Linked DNA regions of Neodiprion lecontei. The protein of the gene in region 2 purifies or fractionates together with the protein of the main gene of each other region. This does not show direct contact. Links are inferred from orthologs where the notes say so. Each region holds a gene or a part of one and is shown on either strand. Other genes may lie near its edges. The genes, in order: mitochondrial mRNA pseudouridine synthase Trub2 and RCC1-like G exchanging factor-like protein.

What was found.
Region 1: the proteins of RCC1-like G exchanging factor-like protein (region 2) and mitochondrial mRNA pseudouridine synthase Trub2 purify together in Homo sapiens (affinity purification with mass spectrometry; 3 studies listed by BioGRID and IntAct, with this or other methods). This does not show direct contact. The link is inferred for Neodiprion lecontei from reciprocal best matches to the Homo sapiens genes RCC1L and TRUB2.

What each region holds. Positions count from the first base shown.
Region 1 is NC_060263.1:8,288,507-8,299,822, forward strand, and holds mitochondrial mRNA pseudouridine synthase Trub2, read right to left. Parts: upstream 5,044-11,316; 5' UTR 4,931-5,043; coding exon 4,807-4,930; intron 4,668-4,806; coding exon 4,259-4,667; intron 3,654-4,258; coding exon 3,517-3,653; intron 3,422-3,516; coding exon 3,162-3,421; 3' UTR 2,707-3,161; downstream 1-2,706. Other genes in the region: ribonuclease 3, read left to right, coding at 1-187, 330-539, 774-1,096, 1,177-1,322, 1,435-2,450; ras-related protein Rab-27A, read left to right, coding at 7,451-7,594, 7,789-7,859, 8,153-8,267, 9,727-9,839, 10,127-10,310. UniProt on the Homo sapiens protein: Minor enzyme contributing to the isomerization of uridine to pseudouridine (pseudouridylation) of specific mitochondrial mRNAs (mt-mRNAs) such as COXI and COXIII mt-mRNAs.
Region 2 is NC_060264.1:18,408,656-18,422,894, forward strand, and holds RCC1-like G exchanging factor-like protein, read left to right. Parts: upstream 1-4,133; 5' UTR 4,134-4,324; coding exon 4,325-4,433; intron 4,434-5,018; coding exon 5,019-5,279; intron 5,280-6,369; coding exon 6,370-6,655; intron 6,656-8,071; coding exon 8,072-8,244; intron 8,245-8,486; coding exon 8,487-8,648; intron 8,649-9,386; coding exon 9,387-9,514; intron 9,515-10,107; coding exon 10,108-10,239; intron 10,240-10,248; exon of another isoform or gene 10,249-10,323; coding exon 10,324-10,401; 3' UTR 10,402-10,856; downstream 10,857-14,239. Other genes in the region: CD2 antigen cytoplasmic tail-binding protein 2 homolog, read right to left, coding at 1,138-1,318, 1,900-2,063, 2,615-2,771; uncharacterized protein LOC107225508, read right to left, coding at 12,649-12,785, 13,650-13,869. UniProt on the Homo sapiens protein: Guanine nucleotide exchange factor (GEF) for mitochondrial dynamin-related GTPase OPA1. Activates OPA1, by exchanging bound GDP for free GTP, and drives OPA1 and MFN1-dependent mitochondrial fusion. Plays an essential role in mitochondrial ribosome biogenesis.

The DNA.
Region 1 (11,316 bases), on a different chromosome or scaffold from region 2:
TGAAGCTCTGATGGGGTCTCTGTTCCTTGACGGAGGAATAGAAGTTGCTGACAAAGTATTTGCTGAGACAATGTTCATGGGAGAATGTGATCTCTCTAAAGTCTGGATCAATTATCCCCGCCATCCTCTGCAAGAGCAGGAACCCACCGGCGATAGACAATGGATACCCAGCTTTGAATTACTGCAAGTATGTGAATTGCTAAAATATTTTCTGTAGGGGTACATTTTCAATTTTATTAATGCAAGGTGTAAACGGTGGTTTATTATCAATTTATTACTGCTCATCGACAAAAAATTAATCAACGTTATTGTTTGTCTTGTTTCTTTAGAAGTTAACCAAGTTTGAAGAATCAATTGGCATTGATTTTCAACATATTCGATTACTCGCACGAGCATTCACAGATCGAAGCATTGGGTATACTAATTTGACGCTAGGATCTAATCAACGTTTGGAATTCCTAGGTGACACTGTTCTGCAGCTCATAGTTTCTGAATATTTGTACAAATTTTTCCCTGAACATCACGAAGGACATCTTTCGGTAAGTAATTTCCTAAAAAGAGTTACTTCAATTTCAAATAATGTGTTATAAATCAGTGTGATTGTTCTGTAGGTTGTACGTTATCATACAGTTTTTGTGTTTTAATGAAGCATGAAATATTGATTACTTAGCGTTTTTATTCTTTATTAAGTTAACGAAAGAAGCTCGGTTTTGAGCGAAGACAAACTAATTGTAAGTTTAATGCAAGTATATGCTAATAATTTACAATTACAGCTTCTACGAAGTTCTTTGGTCAACAACAAAACCCAAGCAGTAGTTTGCGATGATTTGGGTATGACTCAATACGCCCTTTATGGAAACCCTAAAGCGGAGCTAAAGACGAAAGATAGAGCTGATTTGCTAGAGGCTTTTTTGGGCGCTTTGTACGTTGACAAAGGTTTGGAGTTTTGCCACGTCTTTTGCGACGTGTGCTTCTTCCCTCGTCTTCAAGATTTCATCATGAATCAGGATTGGAACGATCCAAAAAGTAAACTGCAGCAATGTTGCTTAACTCTGAGGACTATGGATGGTGGAGAGCCAGATATACCTGTTTACAAGTAGGCATCGCAAATCAAATCTTTCTCATCGAATCAGGGGAAGAAATCGTACTAATTTCATCATTTATTCTTACTTTCAGAGTAATCGAATGCAAAGGTCCGACTAACACGCGAATTTACACAGTCGCTGTGTATTTTCAAGGTAAACGTTTGGCCAAAGCTTCTGGCCACAGCATTCAAGAAGCAGAGATGAACTCCGCTAAAGAAGCGCTTGAAAAATCTCAAGGTAAATTTGATTTGAACATGGAAATTTCAAAAACTGTTCCAGTGACCAATAGTTATGTTATTTTGATATGGGTATGTATCATATTAATGTATTGTTTCAATTGTTTCCGTAGATCTATTCCCTCAATTGGATCATCAAAAACGGGTTATTGCAAAGAGTATGAAAAAACAGCAGTGGCCCAATCGACAGATGCTTCGGGCAAAGACCATTCGATGTAACGACAGATCAGACGATTCAGATTCAAGTTTCAAACAAAAGAGACGAAGTCGAAGTAGGGAGCGTGAAAATTCAGACAGACGATCAAGAGATCGATATGATAGTTCAGATCGAAGGCATAAGGAGTCACTGAAAAATGTTGATAAATCTGATGTCTATAATAATGATCAAGATCGTCGTACCAAGGAAAGATCTATTAGTAAGAGTAACGATTACAGAAGAAATACTGAATACGAAAAAAATAATGATGCTACAAATAAGGAGAAGATTCATAGTCTTCCAACTGACTCGAACCACAGATATAAGGAATATGACAGGTGTTCAAGCGTAGATAGTCGAGGGAATTGTCAAGCAAGTGGATCAGGATCTGGATATAGAGTCAGGGATGATTTTACAGTTACCAATGTTGAGGACAGAATCGAAAGCCGTGATAAAAGTTCAACCCTGTTACGTCGTGGAAAAGACGACGATGGACAGAGCAGCTATAAGCAGAACAATCAATCGGTATGTACGAATGATGGAATGTACGAGCACGATGAAACAGAGCGAAGAACCGAAGCGCAAGCTATGAAAGGCGATAATCGAAATAGAGGAAGGTACGAAAGGCAGGATGATACAGAGAAAAAGCGGAATACCTGCGCGAAAAGTTGCGTTTACGAAGATATAAATGTTCAAAGGCAAAGTAACTTTGAGCGTGAGAGGAAAAAAATAAACGCAGAGAGTAATTATGAAAATAAAACAAACAGGAAAATCCGAGATTACGATTCTAGACATAGTCAGCGTTTTTACGAAAACGGTAGAAAGAGAAAACGATCTTTCGACGATTGCAGAAGCAGCAGCGAAGAAGGAAGTGTACCGGAACAGTACAGAAGTAGTAATTTCTCGCCTCAGATTGAAAAGAAGTCCATGTAACGTGGATGATCCTGAAGTAGTGAGTAGGAGAAAAAGCTGATAAATATAATTTTCAATGTGATAAAAGAGGCTCTGTGATTGGAAAATCTTTCAACTAAAGTAACAGATGAAGAGTTGTTTTACATTGTCGAGTAAACTATATTGGATGGTTGTAAGTGATAACTGGATTATGTTTTACTCACGTGTTACATTATTATTGTGTATATATGTAAATTTCAGGAGACATGTAGAATGTGATGTTTTTTTGAGACGCTAATTTAAGCATATTTATATAATTCCCGAATATTTCATGTAAAGAATGGTGCAAACTAAAATCCATCTTATTGTTATCTGAAATATATAATTTTAGTGCTTATAGTTGAGTTACCTGAAAATAAATTTTACATTGGGCTACTACATATTTGGCAATTGAATTATTTCTTAATTTTAATACTTACCATAAGTCTCGTTATTATGAATAGATGATGAAATATGGAATAAATAGAAAACCTATAATTCGAGGGTATATGAACTATTGGTTTAATGGATTAAAATATTTACACATAATTACATAGACAGATCATTTGCTCCAGAGGATTTAATAAGTGGGTATTTATTGAAATCATATCAATGCACTTTAGTAAAATGAATTATCCCCCAAAGTGAAATGATTCAGGAAAATAGTGACGAATATATTCTGACCCGAGAATAATTCAGCCTTTGTACAGCAATCTATATCTGTTGTTCTATCAATGTAGGACTATCTTGTTCCACTAAATATTTGTTGTTATCAAGAATAGCCTGAGTCTGTTCCATATTATCAAGTATACTTTGAACATCCCAATGTTTTTTGAGGAGTGCAAGTTCAGTTGTAAACAAACCGTACCTGAAACATTGTATTTGTGTACAAGTAGCGACACTGTGTAGTTGAATTCCTAGTTGGTGAACCAAAGTCTTAAGATACATCTCGTACTCGTTGATGCATGCTATTTCTGAAAAAGTAATACACCAAATATAAGTTTATGACAGAGAAAACTGAGTTCGGTATAATACATACATGTTTCATTATCGTTACCAGTAATCGTACCTAGAGTAAATTCTGGCATGTTAAAGGCAACACATTTTATGGCATAAATCATAGGAATTTTGTTATTTGCTGGTCTGATCGGGCCTTGAATTGCCAACTCATAAGCAGCCTGAGACTGCATATCTACGCCACATAGTCTGTAAAAAAATTTAAGATTATGTTGACGTTCCGGCTAGTTGGTAAATTCGAGTAAACTCCATTTGAGTTTAAAGGTTGATAAGCTAACAAGTGGACTTAAAAAGTTGAACAAGAAGTGAAGAAATAATACATCTAGCATAGACAGAGAAACAGACACTACATAATAGACGTTTGCAATAAATAGTACATGAAACTCGAATTCAATACCTGGAAAAGAAGGATTGAACTCTGTTTTACAATATTAATACTGCAAAGTTCCTTATATTGCGTAAGTTCAATTAACAGCTCCAAATTCACAGAACTTTTTCAAAATCTTATCAAACATGAAGCTAGATTCTAATAATTGCGAGTTCTTGAGACCATTTCTGTAACATGGGTACCTAGCCTCGACTTCATAGTCAAAATCATAGGTTTTGAAACATTTTGTGTCCGCTGATCTCTTGTCTGCTGGATTCATAATTGTAAAACTAGTTTTTCATTTAAGATATACATATAAATAAAGTGCAGTATGAAAGAATCAATACTTTTATCAAAAACATGAAATAAGCGAATTTCATAAAACAAGAAAAAATGCAAATTATTAAATTTTCAAAATGACAATTACTCAAACATCTTCCGTTGATGTGATGCCTGCATCGACGCACAGATTGCGTCCACAGTGGCTCGTTTGATAGACTTATAGGTAGCCTTCTCCACAATTTTTCCCGATGTGAAATAATTGTCAGTTGCTTGTCCGAATACCCCTTTAACTTTGTAGAACCTTGTTGGGTTTGATTCCCTCATGCGCATAACTGTTCTAGCACCTTCATTGATTCCAATAATCACAACACCAGATGTATCGTAACCAAGGTAATTGACCCACGATAGCTTAAAATCTTTTTGCTGATAATGAGGACCGGTTAACAATAAATGATCAGCCAAATTTGGAACGACCTGAACAGTCATTGGTTTATCAGTTTCTCCTTCGATCCTGACATACTCCCGCTGTGGTCGGCCTTCTAACGCGTTCAAATCTAATTGGAAATACACGGTACATTAGCACTGATATTAAAAGAACATACGCTCGACAGGGATTACGAAGTGAGTTGATTGCATCAGCGATTAAGTTGTTCGACTTAATACTAGTGCTGGAAAATTTTTTGCAATTCTAACCTCTGCACAAGTGCGTCAGTATCGTGTTTCTGGTTCTGTGCAAACTGTAACCAGCGGGTTTATAAATTGCAGCTATGCCATTTAAAAACTGCCAAACCACCCTGGCGTCAGACGTGACTCCCATTTTTGCATTAGAATCAGTTGTCACTATTTGCTTCTAGTAAGGAAGCTCATTTCGAACTTTAAAGTTCAAACCACGATGTAGGTTCAAACAAATTAGATTTTAGGTTATGTCGTTCGTTTCGAAACAGGATTTGTATTTATATTGGCAACACTGATGAATAGTTTTAAGCTGAATTTTCACGAGCGTCAAATTGACGCGACAGCGCAAAGACGTCATCGGGAAATGTCATTCATGGAAGTGGGTGCCGACGCAACGGCAAAATGCCGCGCGTCAAAACTCACGTGGTTAAGCCAATGGATATCAATTACATTCTTAATCGAAGAATGTAAAAATTTAGGATTGCTGATTGGCAGTGTCGGACTGGTATTTTTTTGATTTTTAGAGCTCAGAAATTCTGGTCTTAGAACCGTTTTTCAGGACCTTATTGGCACTGATCGAACTCTCAGAAATGCGAAAAGGACATTAAAAAGATCGTAGGACCAACAGCAGCGGAATTGCAAACGAAATCTTTCATTTTTCGGCTGGATCTCTTAATACGTTGCTTGCAGTGTATTTCGTAAAACTGGTCTATAAGCTTTATAAGTAGTTGTTCGATATGTAAGAAAATATAATCTCATTCATCCTCATGATTCAAAAAACGTTAATGCAACTGAGAATTACTGCCTTAACCACGTAGCTCACGTATGGTTGTTAGACTTGCGGCATTTCGCCGTTGCGTCGATACCTATTATCATCAGTATTTTTTTGCCGCCGACGATGTAGCGCTGCCGCGTTAATTTGGTATATGATCTAAAATGCTTGGTCTACACATGCACTTTGAGTGGGGGTTTTAAAGTCAGTACGTTCAAGTCTGTTTGGGATAAAGTGTGTACTCAGCATGGACTTAGTACTCAGCTACACACAGTACTTTAATGACAAAAATTATTTTGAGTTGGGTAGCCTGCAACGGTGTTGGGTTTAAAATGAGAACTGTGTGGCACTTGAAGGTTAAAAAGCCTTGTAGCCATCAAACGGAGTAACGAGAAGAACTTAATTAAGAACTGTCAGTTAGTGTTTATAACCTCAGTGATACAATATATGAAGCAATGTAATGCAATGTTCTCCGTAATTTTATTCATTAATTAATAATAACCTATCTATCTTTTATTTTCCGTTTTTTGAATAGCTTATAATCAACAAATCTCTCATCTGTAATTCAAACCGCATTTTGTTTGTTGCAAACCCTGGTGATACTTCAACATGGATTATATTTTCATATCAATAATTGTTTGAGTAATAAATATGTACCAAACTTGGTTACGGCAAAATGCCGACCGAAAAAAAGAACGAAGCACAAAGAACAAAGAACGAGTTCAAATCACACGAGATTTCGATATATCCATCATGTCGGTACGGTTGGCACTACTTCTCGCTGAAAATTAAGCTTAAAGTGGGATTCAGAAAATCTTTAAGTGGGAGGCGCTTAAAGTTCATATAAACTCAGCTACACATCAGCTTTAATGGAGGCGCACTTGAAGACCCTCACTTAAAGCGTATGAGTAGACCAGGCATAAGTGTGGCGACAATTTGACGACCATGAAAATCCACCTTTAGGGTGGGTTTACATGTGCGCGGCGGTGTGCAGCGCAATTAGCGGCAACTAATCAAAACGCATAAGATCTAGTTGCCACTATGTTTTTACTATTGCGTACCATGCGTGTGGCTCACGTACAGTACTCTACACTAAGGGTGCTATTTCATGAGCAGTAAAAAGCAGCAGTGGTTTAGTAACTTACTAGTTTTCACTAGCATCAGTCTGGTAATTTTACGCAGCAGCAGCGCTGCTCAAGAAATAGGTCGTGGCTTTTTGTGATCTTGTGGCTTGTCGCTCGAAAAACTGAACTGCGAGCAGCAGAAACTTGCGCCGGAAGTGATAGGGGAAAATTGCTGCTGCTGCTGCTATTTACTGCTCATGAAATAGCACCCTAATGTGTACAGTGCCGGTGTGTATCGGCCGACGGTAGAGCCATCATACGGATTTACGAGTCGCGGAAAGCTTCGCTTCAAACGGCCGATAAGCCGTACGCTTCTATGGAAGTCGATCTTCGTTGCTAATAGTTAAGTAGCAGCTGGTTGACAGTTGACAATCAACTGTGAGGTGCGATGAGTTGGTGACACGGTTTTATTTGTATTTTTACCGTAGTGTAGTTTATAGTTCTTCCAATTATAATCCGGTCTGTCAGTGAACAGTCTACCAAATTTCTTTATTTCTCTGCTCCGCATTCGCATGATATTTCGCTGTTTTTAGCGAACGTAATCGGTTTTTAGCGTCGGCAACAGGTGTCTAAATCAAAAAGCTCCGAGTAGTTTCGCGCGTACAAATAATAAGACTGTTTACCGACAAAAATTGTCAGCTGAGTCCACTAATCATGTGTCCGCTGTACTTCCTTGCCTTTTGAATACATTTTAATTTTTAAATCTTCACTCATTATTTTCTAATCCAAGTCGGCAATTGGCTTACTTGATCCATCTGTCCAAAAGATGGATTATGATTATTTGATTAAATTCTTGGCCCTTGGTGATTCTGGTGTTGGAAAAACAAGCTTCCTTTATCAGTACACAGACGGTGTATTTAATTCAAGATTTATATCGACCGTTGGGATTGATTTTAGAGAAAAAAAACTGGTAAGAATTTAATTATAATTGTTCTTACCGAATTAATCTATTCATCAGAAGTGGATTTCATATTTTCCATGATGTTTCAACCGTCTGACATTTCGATGACGCGTTATCGATGAATATACTAATCTTGAGAGCTGGTATCTTAATCAGCAGCAAAAAGATTGCCATTAATTTATTCCTTGAAATTGTTATTGCAGGTGTATCAAACAATGAACGGCAGAAGCCAGAGAATACATTTACAACTCTGGGACACAGCTGGGCAAGAAAGGTAATTATAGCCTTCGTGTTATTTGCAAGCTTGCAAACATAATGATGAACATTCATTAGTAATCTAAGTACTGATCCGAATCCAATATCGTAGTAACAACATTATTGTCTTTATTTTAAAAAGAAACAAAGAATTTGTTTCTCTATATCGTATCATCCAAAAGTTGTAACTTTGTTGAAATAGTTGCTTGTTCATAGCAATATTTAAGTTACTTGCGTCGTTAGTCAGTGCATTTAATTCTGTACTTTTACTCACTCATTAATTATGCTGCTTTTTTCAAATTACTTTCCCAGGTTTAGAAGTCTGACTACAGCTTTCTACCGAGATTCAATGGGATTCTTGTTGTTGTTTGACTTGACAAACGAACAGTCCTTTCTGGAGGTCAGAAACTGGCTGGATCAGCTGAGGGTATATTAAATAAATATATCATTTTAATAAGGGTGTATTTACTTGAAATCATTCTAATTCAGTCCATATCTCACAACTTGAAGTCTAAAAATATTAACATAGTGAAACATGAAAAATAAATCACTATTCTGAAGCTTCAGAGAGTGACTCGGAAGAAATTGAATTTGCAAAATATTATTATGTTTTGCTTTACTGGGGCTCACTGAGTTTTGGACAACCCTAAATTTTGGAAGCGACAATTTTTTCTACAAATTAACTACACTAACTTCAACCTTGACCTTTTGTCATGGCAGATTTTATCTCCTAAAACCTAGTAATAATACATGAAATATTGTTTGCATCATTCCTAAGAAACGAGAGACTTCCACGAAACAACGTTTCTGATAAAAATCAATAAAATCTAGTCACATAATTTAATATTTCTCTAAAGAATTCGCAAAATTCTCTGCAAAATTCTCTATAGAATTTTCATAAATAGACAATTGGTAAAGATTTTTACACAAAAATTGTTGGCAGAGTTAAAATTTATCTTTAAACTGAAAATTTATTCAGTTTTATTCGTGACCTACTTTCAATTCGCTACCTTGTTAAACAATCTTAATTACTTGGCCTGATATGCTCAGCTACGCAGGAAGTTAGAAGCAGATATCTTTTGAAATACTCGTGTGTTTACATCTAACACATATTGCTTACACACATGAACTATAATTGATAATACTTATACCGGTAGTAGGATATTTATCCACAATTTTATGATATAGCTGAAGTTGGCAGCCAGGGTTAGCAGCGAAACTTGTTGAACTTTTTGGAAATAGAAAAATGCAGTTCAGTTTTATCCTCACAATTCTATAAAAGTATTGGGGGTTCGAGGTATTTCAAAAAATATTGACTTTCGGACTTCACTACTTTATTCAAAGGAACATTAGAACGTTGGGCTGCTAATTCTGGCTGCTAAATTCAGCCTCGCAATTTTCCGCGAACGATGAGGAAACACTGCTATTTTAAATTTTATTTTAGACATTCATTATTCAAAGACTGATTATCAATTATCAACTTTATTATCAATCTAATGCAAGTTTCCTTTGCTATTTTTATTACTTGCTTAGCGGTTTTTATATCTATTTTCATCAATAACAGCGACCTCAGTACCTACATATATTGCTATTGAAAATTTTCATACTTTAAAATTTACACTTTTTTCTACAATTGCTGAAAAAATTCCCTGCAATTCGAAGTATGAATTTTCTGATAGTTGAGGGTGCACGTAATTCATACAGTTACACATTGTCAGCACAATACAAATTTTATGGAAGGTGGTTGATGAATTATAAATACAATTGTAAGTAATCTATGATAGTACTTACATTTATAATTTGTGTTCAGTACCTATCACGTTTTTGTTTTCATATCAAAAAACCTTTTATTCGGTTGTGCCTTGATTTGTTTATTTATTTCACAGACGCATGCGTACTGCGAAGACCCTGACATAATTCTTTGTGGAAACAAGTCTGACCTTGAAGACCGTCGTGTAATCAGTGAATACAAAGCGCGGGAACTTGCAGAGAAGTATGGGTAAGTTTTTAGAAACTTCATTATATTCGTTCAAGAAGAGACAAAATAAAGACCAGCTAATCTGCCAGCATAAAATTCACAGTTCCTTTTATCAATTATATTTACATTTGATATTCTGAAAAGCCGATTTCTCAATCCATGTCTTATGCTATGTTGTCAATATCAAAAGTCTTTCCGTTCAAGAACAAAAAAATATTGTCTATTTGCGATATATGAATAAAATTTTATCGTCATCTCGGAGGTATGCACAGATTTATTTAGTAACAGTCTGTAATAATGATCCGTAGCCTAGGCTACTTAGAGACCAGTGCAGCTACAGGACAGAATGTTGCTAGAGCAATAGAAGTGCTGCTTGACCGTGTTATGCGAAGAATGGAAGCTACGGTGGACAAGTCTGTGTTGCCGCATCAACGAGGTCTTCGCTGTCACGACACAGATATTCCACCATCAACTTCGTCTTGTTACTGTTGATAACGGCTGCTTGTGATTCTCGCAAGAGTATTTTTCTTCCAGTATTCATCCGCGTGTTTCAGCCATATTTTTATGTATTTCACGAATTATACATCAATATTATTTACTAGCATTAGGAGGAATCTCGTTTATTCTTGTCACCGTTTTTCAGGTTTTTTTCAATTTCAAGATATTGCTTGTAAGAAAACATACTTCGAACCAAGAGGGTCTAGAATCTCATAAAAAATGAGTCGTTTCACTTTACATATATGGGCCAAATATTATAGTAAAAAATGTATGTTGGTATTGAAAAAATTTTAATGTACCCATACAATGCTGAAGTAATTTTGAACGCCGATTGATTATCGTCAGTTTATAAAATTTTCTGATCTTATACTATACGTCCAACATACGTGTAAGAATTTTTAAGAATATTTACAATTTAAAAAACAATGATGCAGGGTCTAAACATGTCATGGATAACAGACTATTGTACTGTGAATAATTACGTCACAGTATTACTGTGACAAAAAATTGAAAATTTCGTACCAATGTCTTACATCTGATCGCCGAATTTAATATGTAGTCAATTAGAATATCACTAAGCTAACGGCTGATCTTTTAACGTTTCTAGTCTTCTGATAGCAGAAAATATACCAAAAACTAAAATTCTGACGAAAGCAAACAATTTTACTTGTAATTTATTGCACTAGACTTTCAAAGATAATACGAACTCACACAATATTATCGATACCATAATATTGTATCAGATCGTATTGATTCCAGATGTTCGTTATATTATAGCGACTTTATTAAAAAACAACTTTCATATGCATATACATATAGGTGATATCGTGTTGAACCTAACTAGTCAATGTACCCAAATTCAATTACTGAAACATGCTGTAATGGATCCTTTTCCAATATTTATCAGTTACACGGTGTGCTTCCAATCGCTTCACCATATACAACATTTCTTAATACTTGACTAACTTTTGTTACTTTACTATGTATTTTCGTATCATCA
Region 2 (14,239 bases):
GTGAATCCGAAAAATAGGTGAAATCAATTTGTATTATAATTTGGAAATAAAATCCAACTATTCGACGGGGATGCGACACAATTTGTTTGAATACTTCTCTACTTTTGATTAGAAAACGATGGTGGGCCGTACTTCGAAGAAATCCATAAGCTTTGAATTCTCTACAAATTTTTCTCGAATTTGATACGTGACTTTTCACTTTCAATTCATTATAATTTACTGCTACTTATTTAGACATAATACATTGTGAAGTAATTTACTTGTTTGTTTAAATAATTTTTTTTCATGCGTTTCCTTTTCCTCCTCAATATTGTTCACTACTTCCGACATTTGTCTAGCATGACAATTTGCCACCGTCTTAAAAATGACCAAAAATAATTGATTGTGTATTAAATCGATTGTTGTATCCCGATTATCAAGTATCATCGCAAACTTGATTAGCGACCAACTCAGTTATTTATCCTCACAATCAGTTTTTGTTTTTTACTTCCATGAATGATGCAATATGATATTAATTTATCTGATTAAAGTATGAATTATTATCATTGTCTTACTTAGTAGGTACCTATTTGATATAATAGGTGAAAAATAAATGAATATTTTCACCTTAAATTGAAAAATATTTTTAATGAAACTATAAGTTCTGAAAAAACTTTTCCGCTATTATAGCTATAAGACTATATACTGAAATTTACGGAATTTTGGTTTCACATACACCGTTTCAGCAAACTTCGAGATAATCGATTAATCGATTAATTTTTACCGATTCCATCGAGCCTTATTCAATTATTTTTTTGGACTCGATTAATCGATACATCGATTATATTTAGCTTAGTGGCCATCGCTACACTGTCTTCTCTCTTTAAACATCTAACGAACTAAACTAAGTTGTAGAGGGCTGGAAGTACTATCACCTGGTCATACCTACTGCAAAAAAGCTAAGCTCTTTTGTCCATCGAGTTAGTTTATCATTTTAATTCATTTTATTAGGTGGGTGGAGAGATTTGGGGGGGGGGGGTTTGTTTTATCCCACAATGATTTTACTAGAAACACTAAAAAAAATTTGTCAAAACAATATTCAATAAACCCTTGAATGCAAAAAATTATATTATCAAACGCTGATCAATTAGTTTTTACCTAGTCTGCGAAGTGCTTTTGATACAGTTTCCCCAGGACGCAAATACTCGAGAATTTTTTTGTACAATGGCACGCTGTCAAACATTACTTCTTGTTCATCATCCTCGCTATCGCTGTCCGCCAATCCTTTGATTTTGTCACTTGTTTTATTGCTTGTACCTTCGCGTCCCCCAGATTTAATCTGTAACCCAATTTAGGCATTATTGTTTTTATTTTTATTATTATCAGAGCTTACATTATTAACAAACTAGTTGTTGTTATTATTGCCATGATTATGCGTTTCACACAGAACTATGAAAGTATAATTGAAAGATCCGTTTCATTTTTGGCTTTCTATTTCCCTTATAAAGTTTTTGATTTTGCAGTCACAAATAAAAAGAAGAGTTTCCATGATGCTATAGTTTGTCACTATTTTCGATATCGGTATTTCGCACCATTAACATTGTCTGAAATTTGATGAACCGTAACAAAGCCAAACATAAAACTTAAATTTTGCATAAGATTGAAGTTAATAACATTAAAAAATTTAGAATCATTGCAAAATACGAGTACAACTAGCTTTATTACAGTTCACAGTTTCAAAAGTTCCGTTGTAAGATTACGAATTTTCTAAAAAATTAATGAATTCGAAACTTGTATTAATTTTCCAACTTAAGATATTTTCGTAAAAATCTCATTGTATAATAGTCGAGTAGAATAGAGTATTTTTAACAAAATAAATACATTAGTAGCGGAATTTGATTTTTGAGCAGTGTTAACAACCTGAACCCAGTCAATGTTGTCAAGCCAATTGTCTCTGATCTGCTTTTCCTTGTTCCAGAGGTAATGACCATCCTTATCAAAGTGTCCCTCTTCCAATTCCTCCTTCATATTGAATGCTGTGAAGCCTACATCTGTCTCTGCTGCTACGGGATCGTCTTCCGTTCCTTTATAATAAAAGATTTCAAGTGAACACGAATTTCAAAGATTTAGAAAAGAATCGTATATAATTATTATTACTACTTAATTTGAATGAAATAGACAATATGAGAGAAAAACTGGAAAAGTGGCCCTGCTGAAAGACTTTGATCAGAACATTCATCAAAAGATTCTAAACAAATATTACAAATTTGAAGTTCATCACATTATTGTGACGATGCATTTTGTAAGAAACTTTGTTGAATTACAACATTAGCATTGCTCCAAATTATATAAACCTTAACGACGCCAGTGTGAAGCTCGTGTTTTGTAAACTTGACTCATTCAAAGTTGTTTCAAAGTTGCTATATTTGTTTTTTTTTTCTAACTTTTCATTGCATTAAAGTTACTAACTTTAATCTCGCATATTATAGAGAGGAATTCAGACACAATTTATCATCATTTGTATCATATTTTTGAATCCTATTCTAGGATATTCCTTAACATTAAAGTCTATTGAACTATTAAACTAAATAGAATTATTGGATGCGATTCGTAAACTAATGGCAATGTTGCGCACCTTCAAAGTCATCCTCATTCATGACATTGTAATTATCCTCATTGGCTTCTTCGTCCTCCTCATCAGAGTCTAAAGAATTCTTGACGGTCGGTTCTGTTTTCGCCCTACTATCCTTCCAGTCTTCACTCAGTACATCCTCGAGCTTACGCTTAGACATGTTATTCTTTCAAAGTTTTCCTAACGATTGATGTTATTCAATAAATCATAAGACTTTGCAAAGTTGTCAATTGCTTTGATGCGGTTAGTTTCAACTATGAGATAGTGGTGGATGATATAAGAATAATGTTCAAGCGTGTTATGATGGTGACAATGTTTTCATCCGGACGTTCAGTCACGCAGAAGAACGGATATTGTTGAATTGTTCATCTATACTTATTGTTGACCATCTCTCGCACAATATTACAACTTCTGAATCATGTGAAGTGAGTAAACGAAAAAAATTCCAAACACCCACAACATTCTTTCATTAACTAAGAATCACGTAGTCCGACAACGACTGCCAGATATACGCTGGTTTTTCACGTGCAGCATACAGCTTGGATGCGTTTCGATAATTTACTCCCAGTGCGTCAACAATCTTTTATCTCTTTTGCGCTACCGAGTTTTTAGCGCTGAGAGCTAATTTCGGAACGCACCCTTGAGCGCAAGACCGTCCGAATTGGCTATCTCCTTAGGGTGAATTCACATTTTATGGAGGAAGTCTAGTATACCCTTTCGTGCAAGCGTAAAATGGTATAGAGAGAGAAGTAGTAATGGCGCTGCAAGGGTTCTCTGTGTTGCCAACATAACTGTCAAGTTTAAAAAATTAGCCGTCTACACGGTCTTATTGTCCCCAAATGTACCTGTTACTAAATCAAGCCGTTGAATCGTCGCGTTTCTATCAGACTTCGGCGAAAATGCCCATTCCACATTTATAAATTGTATCGTTGCATTTAAAAATATGCTAAACATTGATATTATTGACTGTTTGTTTCAATAACCTGACCTACCAGGCACCAATGTATAATATGTATTTATATAATCTGGATTATTTCAACGCAATGCTCGAGGCACTCAATTACGATAGGTACGCTCTTGCTGTAGAAAGAGAGCGCATGTAGCATTACGACATCTCTCTCGCTCACTGGCTCGGGGACCTTTCTTTAGCGTCGATGCATCCTCTATGTCTATATGCTCTAAGGTTAGGCACCGCGGCACGGATCATGGTTCAGAGGTAACCAATCAAAATGCCTAAAATATAGGAAAATGTAAAAAGTGAAGGGTGGCGATCGTAACCTGTGAACATCCGTGCTACAAACATACTCCGTAAATTCGTAAAATACGCATTTGAAGTGAATGAAAACTGAGTAATTACTTTTCCAACTGACATTTGAATCTGAAGAAAAGGTGGCAAACGGCGAATTATAAGATACCGGACGGGGCGGGGGGGGGGGGGGAGAGCGCTATACGGGCTTACCCCGCAAGAGGCGCTTCAATCGCAACGTGACTATTCCTCATACAAGTTACGTTGCCGCAAAACTAGTCCAACGTTTGAGCCGAACGGTGCTTCAGTGTCGTCTCCTGCCGACTGCTCCGTGATTAAGTGTTACCGGTGTTACCGCAGATGAAACTCTAACCTCAAACAACAGACAACCGTGCAAAACAGTCGCTTACTCAACTATGCCATAATTAGTACGGCACGTTTCAAATATTGCTACAAAAGTTTAAATAATGTTTAAGCTAGTCAGAAATTATTCAAAATTATCTTCTCCAAAAGTCCGCCAAAAATTGACAGCAACGAATACAAAATCTCCAAACCCACCACCAAACGAATTGCCAGGTAACGATCACTCTAGGGATTTTTTACCGTAAACAAATGTGACATAATGAATAACAACATTGGCGATGTGTATTTGCCTGATACAGTGACTCCACTGGAGTTACTTCGATTTCACGAAAATAACACCGATGACACTTAAAAAGTACCCTGAATTTTACGTTACATGATATCAATCCTCTAAGAGTGATTGGTACTGACTGCGTTATTAACAAGTTGTTTCGTATTGTACTGTGTAAACAGAAATAAGACATGAGAATTCCCGAAAATCTTGCCATTACACAATGCAGGCTAAATTCACTCCAATCTCTTTCACGTCGCTTTAGCATATCTTTATCGCAGTCATTTAATTGTTCTAATAAACTCTGCGTAATGTTAAAATTCGGACCATTTGTAGTACACAAATTGTAGTGGTTTCTTCGAGAGTAAGTTTTTTTTGCCCCTATCTGATACATACAACTTATAATAAATTATTTTCACAAAAGGATGTTTCTAGTTTTTCAGGTGGGAGCAAAAAAAATATTTCTTAGACATCTAATGTCTTAATATAAATAATGCTGAAAATTTTTCTGTAATTTTGCATTGCAGTATTTCAATATCCAGTAAGTCAGAGTAGCGACCGCAGGGTGTACGTTTGGGGCCTTGCTGGTCATGGAGCCTTGGGACTTCAACCGCCGATCGCGAAGCGCAAGAAGTTCTTATTTTATCACAAACCGAACAGACTTCGATTTGCAGAACAGCATCGAGTGATAGATATCGAATCTGGTTATGGGTTTACGGTCTTTGCCGTTGACTCGAAAGATGGAAACATCCTTTGGGGAAATGGAATTAACACAGATTCTCAATTGGGTAAATGAACGTGAAGATGAAAATATAAATTCAATAAATGTTAGATATATCATTTAGTAGATTCCATAAGTTGGTTAAAATTTAATATCGACCAGATAACGTAATATTGTATAATTGGAAGTTGCATCTTTGTACACAACTTCTAACCCAGATGCTGTAAAAGAGGGATATCTGCAACATGGCACGTGCACGCATTTGTGCAATATGAATAAAAATTTGGGACAAAAATATTAAACTGATTGTATACGTGGGTAACTATCAATCTACATTCTGCGTTATATTTTCGATGGCATTTATCATAAACAGTAACTTGATTCTACAAGTAGTAGCCAATGGTTAGGAGTTGAAAATCGGATTTATTTAAACATTCCACACCTCTCTTTTACCTTTCATTTGAAAAAGCTGTAGGACTCAAGTCAAATGGTAAAAACAAATGAATTCCACAATTTCAAATTGAACCTTCGTCTTTGAATTTTCAGCACTGCCTGTTGTCGAGAAAAAATACGACCTACTGTGCTTTTGGCATAAAAAAGTTTGATTCTTATGATTATGTAATCATTTTTGAGATAGGTCTTCTGAAATTGTGACAAAAAAACATAGGTTTTTTCAACTTTTCAGTCGTATATACATGACGGATCAAAAATGGATTTTTATTTATTTTCTTTATTCAAATTCAGACATTTTGGAGTATATCCTCAAGTTTTTAGAATTACATCATAATTAAATCATTAAAAATATTCCAGGGATACAGAATATATTTAGGAAATCCATGATCCCTCGAATATTTATTATGTTTTATAAACGATGCCATTTCCATTCCACTATACAACTCAGAATGTACTCTATAATGTTTACCATTTCACATTAAAAAAATGCAGAAAATTTATTCTTAGGAGTTCGCAAACATGGACTGAAAGTGTAAAGAACAGTTCCCGACAACAGCCTTAAAATGGATTTCATTTTCGGAAAGATCAGACTAAATTTTAGTCAAATATTGCTAGGATTGACAGATTTTAAAGGTGCCTTCAGTGCAGTCTTCATTCGATTTGATTCACACTTTTGATTAAATTTGATCCAATTCTTTCCTCAGGATATGATGCAGCAGCAAAGGATCCTCAAAATGTTGTTCCACTCCCAAAGCCGATACATCTGCCATTAAAAAATCCGTCCAGTCAAGTAACTGGACTTGCTGCTGGTCGTGCACATTTGTTAGTTCTAACAACCGAAGGCCTGTTTACACTTGGAAATAATGGTTATGGTCAATGTGGACGACCAATAATTGTCGATGAAGATTACACAAACAATACAATAGTTCATCATATACCAGACATCAAAGGGGAGCGCATAAAATCTGTAACAGCAGGCCAAGATCACAGGTACGTGATAGCATTTACCAATCAGCACTGTCATAAGTTATTTTGATCATTTGTTTTAACAGAATGATCTCAGATAACCGTTGAACAAAAAGATATTGCGCTGCCGTCAAAAAAATATTTTTTGCAATTAACAATTCTTTTTTCTCAACACACTAAGAATTTTCCGTTTTTATTATTGTCTACTCAATTAACCACATTAAAATGACGATAATCTTACTTGTAGAGACAATTACGAGAGAAATTATTTCTCATCTCATCAAATGAATTTGTACATGAATAATCTTATTTTCATTTAAATAATACTCGTTACCTTAGACAACAGTGAAGATAAGATAAGATAAATAAGATTGAAGTTAGTAACGTTAATGTAACGAAACATTGAGAAACAAAAATCACTATTTTTCAATTAAAAGTGACTGAAGGTGTTATTAAGTTTCCAAAGTATGAGAGTATTTTTATATTCATTGTATGACTTAACGAAATTTAAAGAATCCTAAACTTGCAAATTAACGATTTTTCCTAAAAATACATGGCTATATTAACATTATGAACTTGAACCTGATATTTACTCATTGTTGGCAATCACTACATTTTTTTGGATCTGCACACGGCAATGGGCATTCCATAAATTTTTTGACTTGCAATAAGCATTTTCTATAAAATTTCGGTTTGTCTTGTATCTCCAAGAAAGATGAGGCTAAAGTTCACAGAATTATTCTAACAATGCATTTCTAAACGAAAATGTTCATTTTGCAACTTTACGTTAAATTCAATTCGGTAAAAGATAATAAACCAAAGTTGACCACTATCTTTTATAACATTTTCAATGTAAATAGTACAAAACGACATGTTGTATCATTCTAGTTCATATATTTTGCATGAAATAACCAATTATTACTTTACAATATGTTTTTTTTTTTTTTTCAAATTTAAATCATTCATTCGACGTTTAAAGTTCGTAAAGCAAAACATTTCTTGAATGAAAAAAGGTGGTTCATTTGATTATGGTATATTTTGCACTAACGGTGAGAAGTGGAAGTTTTTTTAGCCATGTGTGGAGTTTGCAGTACGAGCTTTATAAAACTGGTAAATCTTTAGAAAAAAAACAAAAAAAAAAAAAACGAATCCTGCTCCATTTTTAGGACATAAAGAAATGTTAACATAAATATCGAACGAGATTGAAGTTCATGATGATGATGCAGTGAGAGTGTTTTTATAAATCATTTCACAAACTTGAAAATGTCAGAAATTCGGTAAACTGTAATGAAGCAAAATATACTCGAAATTTTAAGAACTGAACATCTTCAAAGTCATTGCAAAATAGGGGCACCTTTTCCAAATCTTTCATTGTGTTAGCGTTAAAAACTTGATAATCTATAAATCAATGAATTACAAGCTACTCTTTGTTTTCTGCAGTATTCTTTTAAGCGAGTCAGGCCAAGTTTATACATTTGGATGGGGTGCAGATGGCCAAACTGGTCTTGCACATTACAGAAATGAGTACAAACCGAGCTTAGTGAAAGGAGACTTGGCTGGTGAAAATATTGTCAAAGTTGCCTGTATGGCAGACTGTGTCTTGGCGCTTAGCGGTATGCTATAAAAAAAAAACTACTTGTTATTATCATTGCTTAACCAATTAAACAAATCGCAGACGTCATATATTGATGTGATATTCTACATAAATTTGTTTGAAGAGACTTCCCATACTAAAAGAATACTGGGGAAAATCTTGAAAGACCTGGACGTCTAATCTGCTTGCGAAATTCTGTATATAATTCAGTTAACTTTCCCCTACTTCAGCAGCTTTAACATTCTAATATAATTTTGGTAGATAAAGGCACAGTATTCGGATGGGGTAATTCGGAATATGGACAGTTGCCATCTTTGGTTGATAATCACCAAATAAACATTGCAACAGAAATCCAAGAGTGTCGCTCCCTGGGACATGTTGTAGACATTGCTGCAGGCGGAAGCTTTTGCATGGTTTTAAACAGTAAGAATATATAATCAATCGATCAAATACCTTCGGTTAAAAATCAATGCTTTTTTTACTAATTTTACTACGAGATCAGCTCACGTACAGTTTTTATCAAATTATCACGTTCGGATGCTACGGTGATGCTTCCAAAATTGCTGAAAAAGTGTGACTAAAATTATGAACAGCAGTTTAAGTATCAATTTCTCACTGGAAACAGCTTTAAAATGGTGGAAAAATTTACTAGGCTCGTTCAATTTCACTCCATGAAGTCATGGTGGCTTGGTTTGTTTGGAAAACTGTTTCTTGCCAGTTCTGTGAAACAAATTTTGTCTTATTCTCAATTATTGATTAAGTATTGCTATTTCCTGATCAAAATCGATACCACTGGAATCTTGGAAAATTGTATATTCAACAATATCAACTTGATAAGTAAAACAAAAATTGTTGGACTTTACTTGAAAAATTACCTTCTACATAAAATGACTCGTTCGCAAAATGATGTGGCATTTATATATCAGATTTTTCAGCATCTTAATGCGATTAGAGATGAAAAATGGTTATCCTAGTTTTTTATTTTGCATTCCTAGAAAAATCATCATAGCTTACGAACGTGTTGACCATATGAACCTTCGAAGCAAAGGCTTGATTTTTAAGTGACAAATCTCTTTGAGTAAACAATTTACTGTAATAAGTAGCGGATTATGTTTCCTTACTCTTTTGTCATAAATTTTTCTTGTTGATCTGAATTCCTAGGTGATGGCAACGTTTTTGTATGGGGATATGGAATTCTTGGAGTTGGTCCTGCTGTACAAAGAGCAAAAGAACCTACAATGATTCCGGCTACTCTGTTTGGTTTTAACGCGTATAGCCGTAATAATCGGGTCAGTAGAAATTTGCCTAAAATTCCCCCAGTTCACAAAATTCATTCATGAAATTCTATTCTTAAGCAATGATAGTTTGCTATTATGTTTTTAATACACTTTTGGATTGACCACAATTGAAATTCAGTGTCATCTAGACTTCATCGAAATCAATGGATTATAGATGAGTAGACGGCTAAAGAAATGGGTGAATTTTGGGAATTGATATCTTGAAAACCAACCACTCATTTCGATCGGAGTTTGTTTTATCGAAACGTGTGTAGATCGAACTTCAGCTACATATTTTTTTTTTTTACTATAGACATAATTGGAAGCATTGTTAGTGACAATAACGTCAACCATTTAGCTAAGTGACATGTTTTGCGGGGCCCACGATATTTCAAAACCGGTCCGACCGATTTACTTCAAGTTTGAAGACAGTGTTTTTGGATAGTTTAGCTTCTTTACCAAAATCTGAAATTATTTTTTTCAACCAGTGATGACTGTGCGAAATTGAAATTCGATGTTTCATACAAAATTTACTACTGAATTATTCGATTAAAGAAATATAATAGTCAGCAATGATAGAAAAAAAATTTTCTACCTTGTCACAGGTTTCTCAAATATACTGCGGTATAAGTCAACTGGCGGCAGTGACTGATAATGGAGACCTTTATATGTGGGGATGCAACAAATTTGGATCTTTAGGACTTGGGAATATCGAGGATCAGTTCTTTCCATTGAAAGTAAGTATATGTCAAACAGTGTCATACATTTCATGACATTCTTTATTATTTGCTGTCACATGAATTATATATATTATATTCTAGGTAGCAGTAGGTGCTCAAGTAAAAAAAGTTTCTTGCGGCGTCGATCATACAGTCACATTATGTAAACCTTATATATAAAGCAGTGTTTTCCTAACGAACAAAATATATTTTTACGTATTGTCACAAGGTGTGTATGAATATTAAGAGTTGAACCTCGATAATGATACCGGTATTTGCCAATTGTAGGATTGTAAAAAGTAATGTCTATTTAAAAGAAGGAAATAATTCATTATTTCCGGAGAGCTAATACAGACTTAACTCGTACTAGAGCTTCGCGATTAATCGATTAACCGCAGATTTGAACTCATTTTTTATCTAATTCGTCGATTAATCCAAAAAAAGAAAAGATCAATTTCAATAAACAAATGGCCGATTAATCGAAAATCGATTAATTGAAAGGGTTGATTACTTGATTAATCGGGAAAACTCTAAATGATGTTTCTAATGAATCCATTAATAGGGAAAATGATTAATTGAGAATGCCAAACAATCGATTATTCAGAAAAACAATCAATGAAAAGAGTCAATCAATCGACTAATTTCAAAAAAATGTATGATTAATTGTTTTATTGTGCAGCCCTGATTCGTAAATAAGGATACTTCATTAGCCCATTAAACTGAACTTTTTCTAGTCAGTATTTTGTTACAGAAATAAATAAAAGACAAAATAAGGGCAAAGAAACTGTTCCTTTTTTAATCTTCTTCCTGTTTTTATTAACTAATTTGTACGTTAACACTCTCATTTCACTAAGTACATCTCATTAAGTACTATGCAATGGAAAAAAAAAATAAAAATTGGGTGCAATCTGAAATGTATTATTAGTACGAATACTACGCGATTATTTGCTTTTTTTTTATCAAGAATCTACTTTCTTAGTGAAATATAGGTAAAATGAAAAAAAAATAAAAATTTCAAGTTCAAATAAATTGATCAAACTTTCCTTCAGCAAACCAATGCAAATGTCAAAGTTTACATACTGATATTATTATTTCATTTTCTTCGAAAACTCAAATTTCATCAAATAACTGGGTTTGAAAACTATAAAACCGGGACGACACAGATCAATAATTGTGAATTGAAAATGTGATGCAGTTTGGAAATGTTAGTTTCTAAACTTAAATTCAGTAAAATTGATGATGATGTAATATTTGTAATTGATTCCTATGACGCGCCATTTTCAATATCAAAAAAAAATCTTTCACCTGGTTTCACAAATACTGACTCCTTTGCGTAATCAGATTAGATTGCAAGCAATTGAGGGAGAATTCACGGATCTGTAATTCATGTTTGCTCTCATTTTTCAGAACCAAAGTGTTGATCGCATTTCTGCAAGATACCATAATTATAATATTTTGAGGACTTTGAATTCGTTTTGAACAGTTGAACTTGAATGTGACATTAATTCAACTTCAAATCAATTGATCGACCATACACAAGTTACAGACGTTTACTTTGATGATTCTATTTTTAAATGAATAATTCTTGGAGAAATGATCACATGGTTTTATACAAGGCTCTGAAAATGTGCCATGTCGCTGCTCACCGGGGAATACGATTACTTTTGTAAGAATATTTACAATATTTATGAATTTATTCCAACTTTTTGTTCAAAGGAACTTCTTTGCTCAAATTCCCACTAGGCTATATTAGTTGTGTAATGGATTTGCTAGATTCTCAAAATCCGAATTTAGTTTTCCACTTGAGAAATGATCAGAATCCGGCAGCCCAAGTATAGTTTCAAGTTTTATGTATCCTATCTCATCATGAGATTAATTATCTTACGAAAATCTAAAATTTAATGTTTATCGCTGTAGTAGCCATTTAATTATTATGTCAAGTATTAAAGAGTAAGTAAGTTTTTGATATTGGAAAGCTGATTGCACTGAAATGCAAAATATTTGTCCTCCTATTCTGTTCAGAGAATGTAGCCAAATCGTTACAGCTTGGAGATAGAAAAATAAATATTACCCTGAAATTTATCTTCATCCAACAATATCGCGTTTACAACTGAATGACGACGATTTTTTTTTTTTTTTTAATTTAACTTCAGTACTGTAATGAAATTCTTAGCTAAAAGTTATCGTATGAACCGAAAAAAGCCATGCTTATGCACTGAGAAAAGGTTCCCTCGTGATTAAAACTTGCGATAACTCTGTAAATACAACAAATGTTTGAAAACTCTGGCGCAAATGTTTCTCCATCAAATACTCGATACAATGTTATCTTCGAATAGCGTAAAAATTCCGTAGTATGTATTAACAAAAAGCGTGACCGTTTTAACACGGAATCACTTCGGTAACTGCGTTTAACTCTATACACTTATATTACATGAAGTTGATAATGAAAGATACTACCAGAACCAATGGAGCAAAGAAGAAAGTGCTGGCACTGCTTCGGCATACAAGATTGTCGTACGATATTGTGAACTTGCGCATGTCCGGATAACGGCAAACGTTGGCATCTGAAAGATTTTTATGTAGATATACGCTCGTGTGTTAAATTGTAGAATACAGAAAATACCAGCGTTTTGAATGGCACTGGATAACGAGCATTTTGTTGGTCAAAATAAAAAGAGAAAAGACTGTTTGAAAAAACTCCAGCAGTGTTATTTGCGCTAATAATGTTGAACACTAATCAAACAACATTTTTATTATGTTATAGAAATGATGATGAGCAAATTCAAATAACACCAGCTAAGATATCACCAATTTGCGAAAAAGTTCTTCAACTGGAAGATACGAAATGCTTAAACTCGAATGTATTCGATCCGATTCTAATGTTTTTGAGTTCATTTTACTCACCGAACAGATTCTCCGAAATTCTCGAAAAATATTCTAGAAATCTTACTTTATATTATAGTTATAAAGCAAATGTAATCTTTGACGAAGATTTATTGTACCATGCTTTCAAAAATTTCTCTTTATCCACTTCGAAGCTAACTATTTGTGAAACTTTTTCAAGCGATATCTGGATATATTTATGGTAAATGAATTAGGCCTGAAATATTTATAATTCCATCAAAAGCACCAGAGTTTGATCATTTTCAACGTTTTGATTATTAAAAAACTCATCTCTGAAATTGTTGATACCGTAAAACTTCTGTTATTCGAATTTACTCTGAATTATTTCTGTTACATACTAAGGATTTTATTGCATCTCTGTTCACCATTATCGGCAAAAATTAGATTTCTGGAAATTTTTAAACGCTTTTTTCTCCTACTCAGACCAATTCTTTCGTACTTTAAACGCGTCTGATTTTCGTGGTATACTCGATGGAAAAATATTCATCATGGCTTTGGATTTTCTAGAGGTACTGTAAATATACCTGTGCATTGGTATGATACTGAATCCGAAGCATTAGCTGCCACAGATAAGTAGAGAGGCTGACATCTGTGTATGAGATCCACGCCACTGCAGGATATGCTGATGCTGTGCGTATTTGTTGTCACTGATGTGCAGCTTACGTCGTTCGGAGAAGTTGAATTTGGCTGAACCACCGAACGCGATGTACAAACATTCAGGTATCCCCATCCTGCACCTTGAACCTATGCATCAATCAAATATTATGTGGTAACTGTTGAGGTTATTGTTGCATGATGCGAGGTTTAACCCATTCGCTTTTTTGTACACTAATTTTCGTTTTCTACGAATTTCTGTAAATAACTCTCAAGTATATCAAATCGGGGTAAAATGTTTTTACAAATTCGTTGCCACTGTTTATTTTGTAGAATTATTCTGACATTGCGGAAAAACGCAAATTTTGAAAAAAAATTCATTTTCTGAAACATGTCCAAAACATCTCAAACTTGTTCAAGAAGTGTTCCTTTACCGAAATAAAGGCATTTTGAGTCAATATTTTCATATTAAAGCGAATGAGTTAAACTATCTAAATTAAGCATTGGGAGAAAATTATTG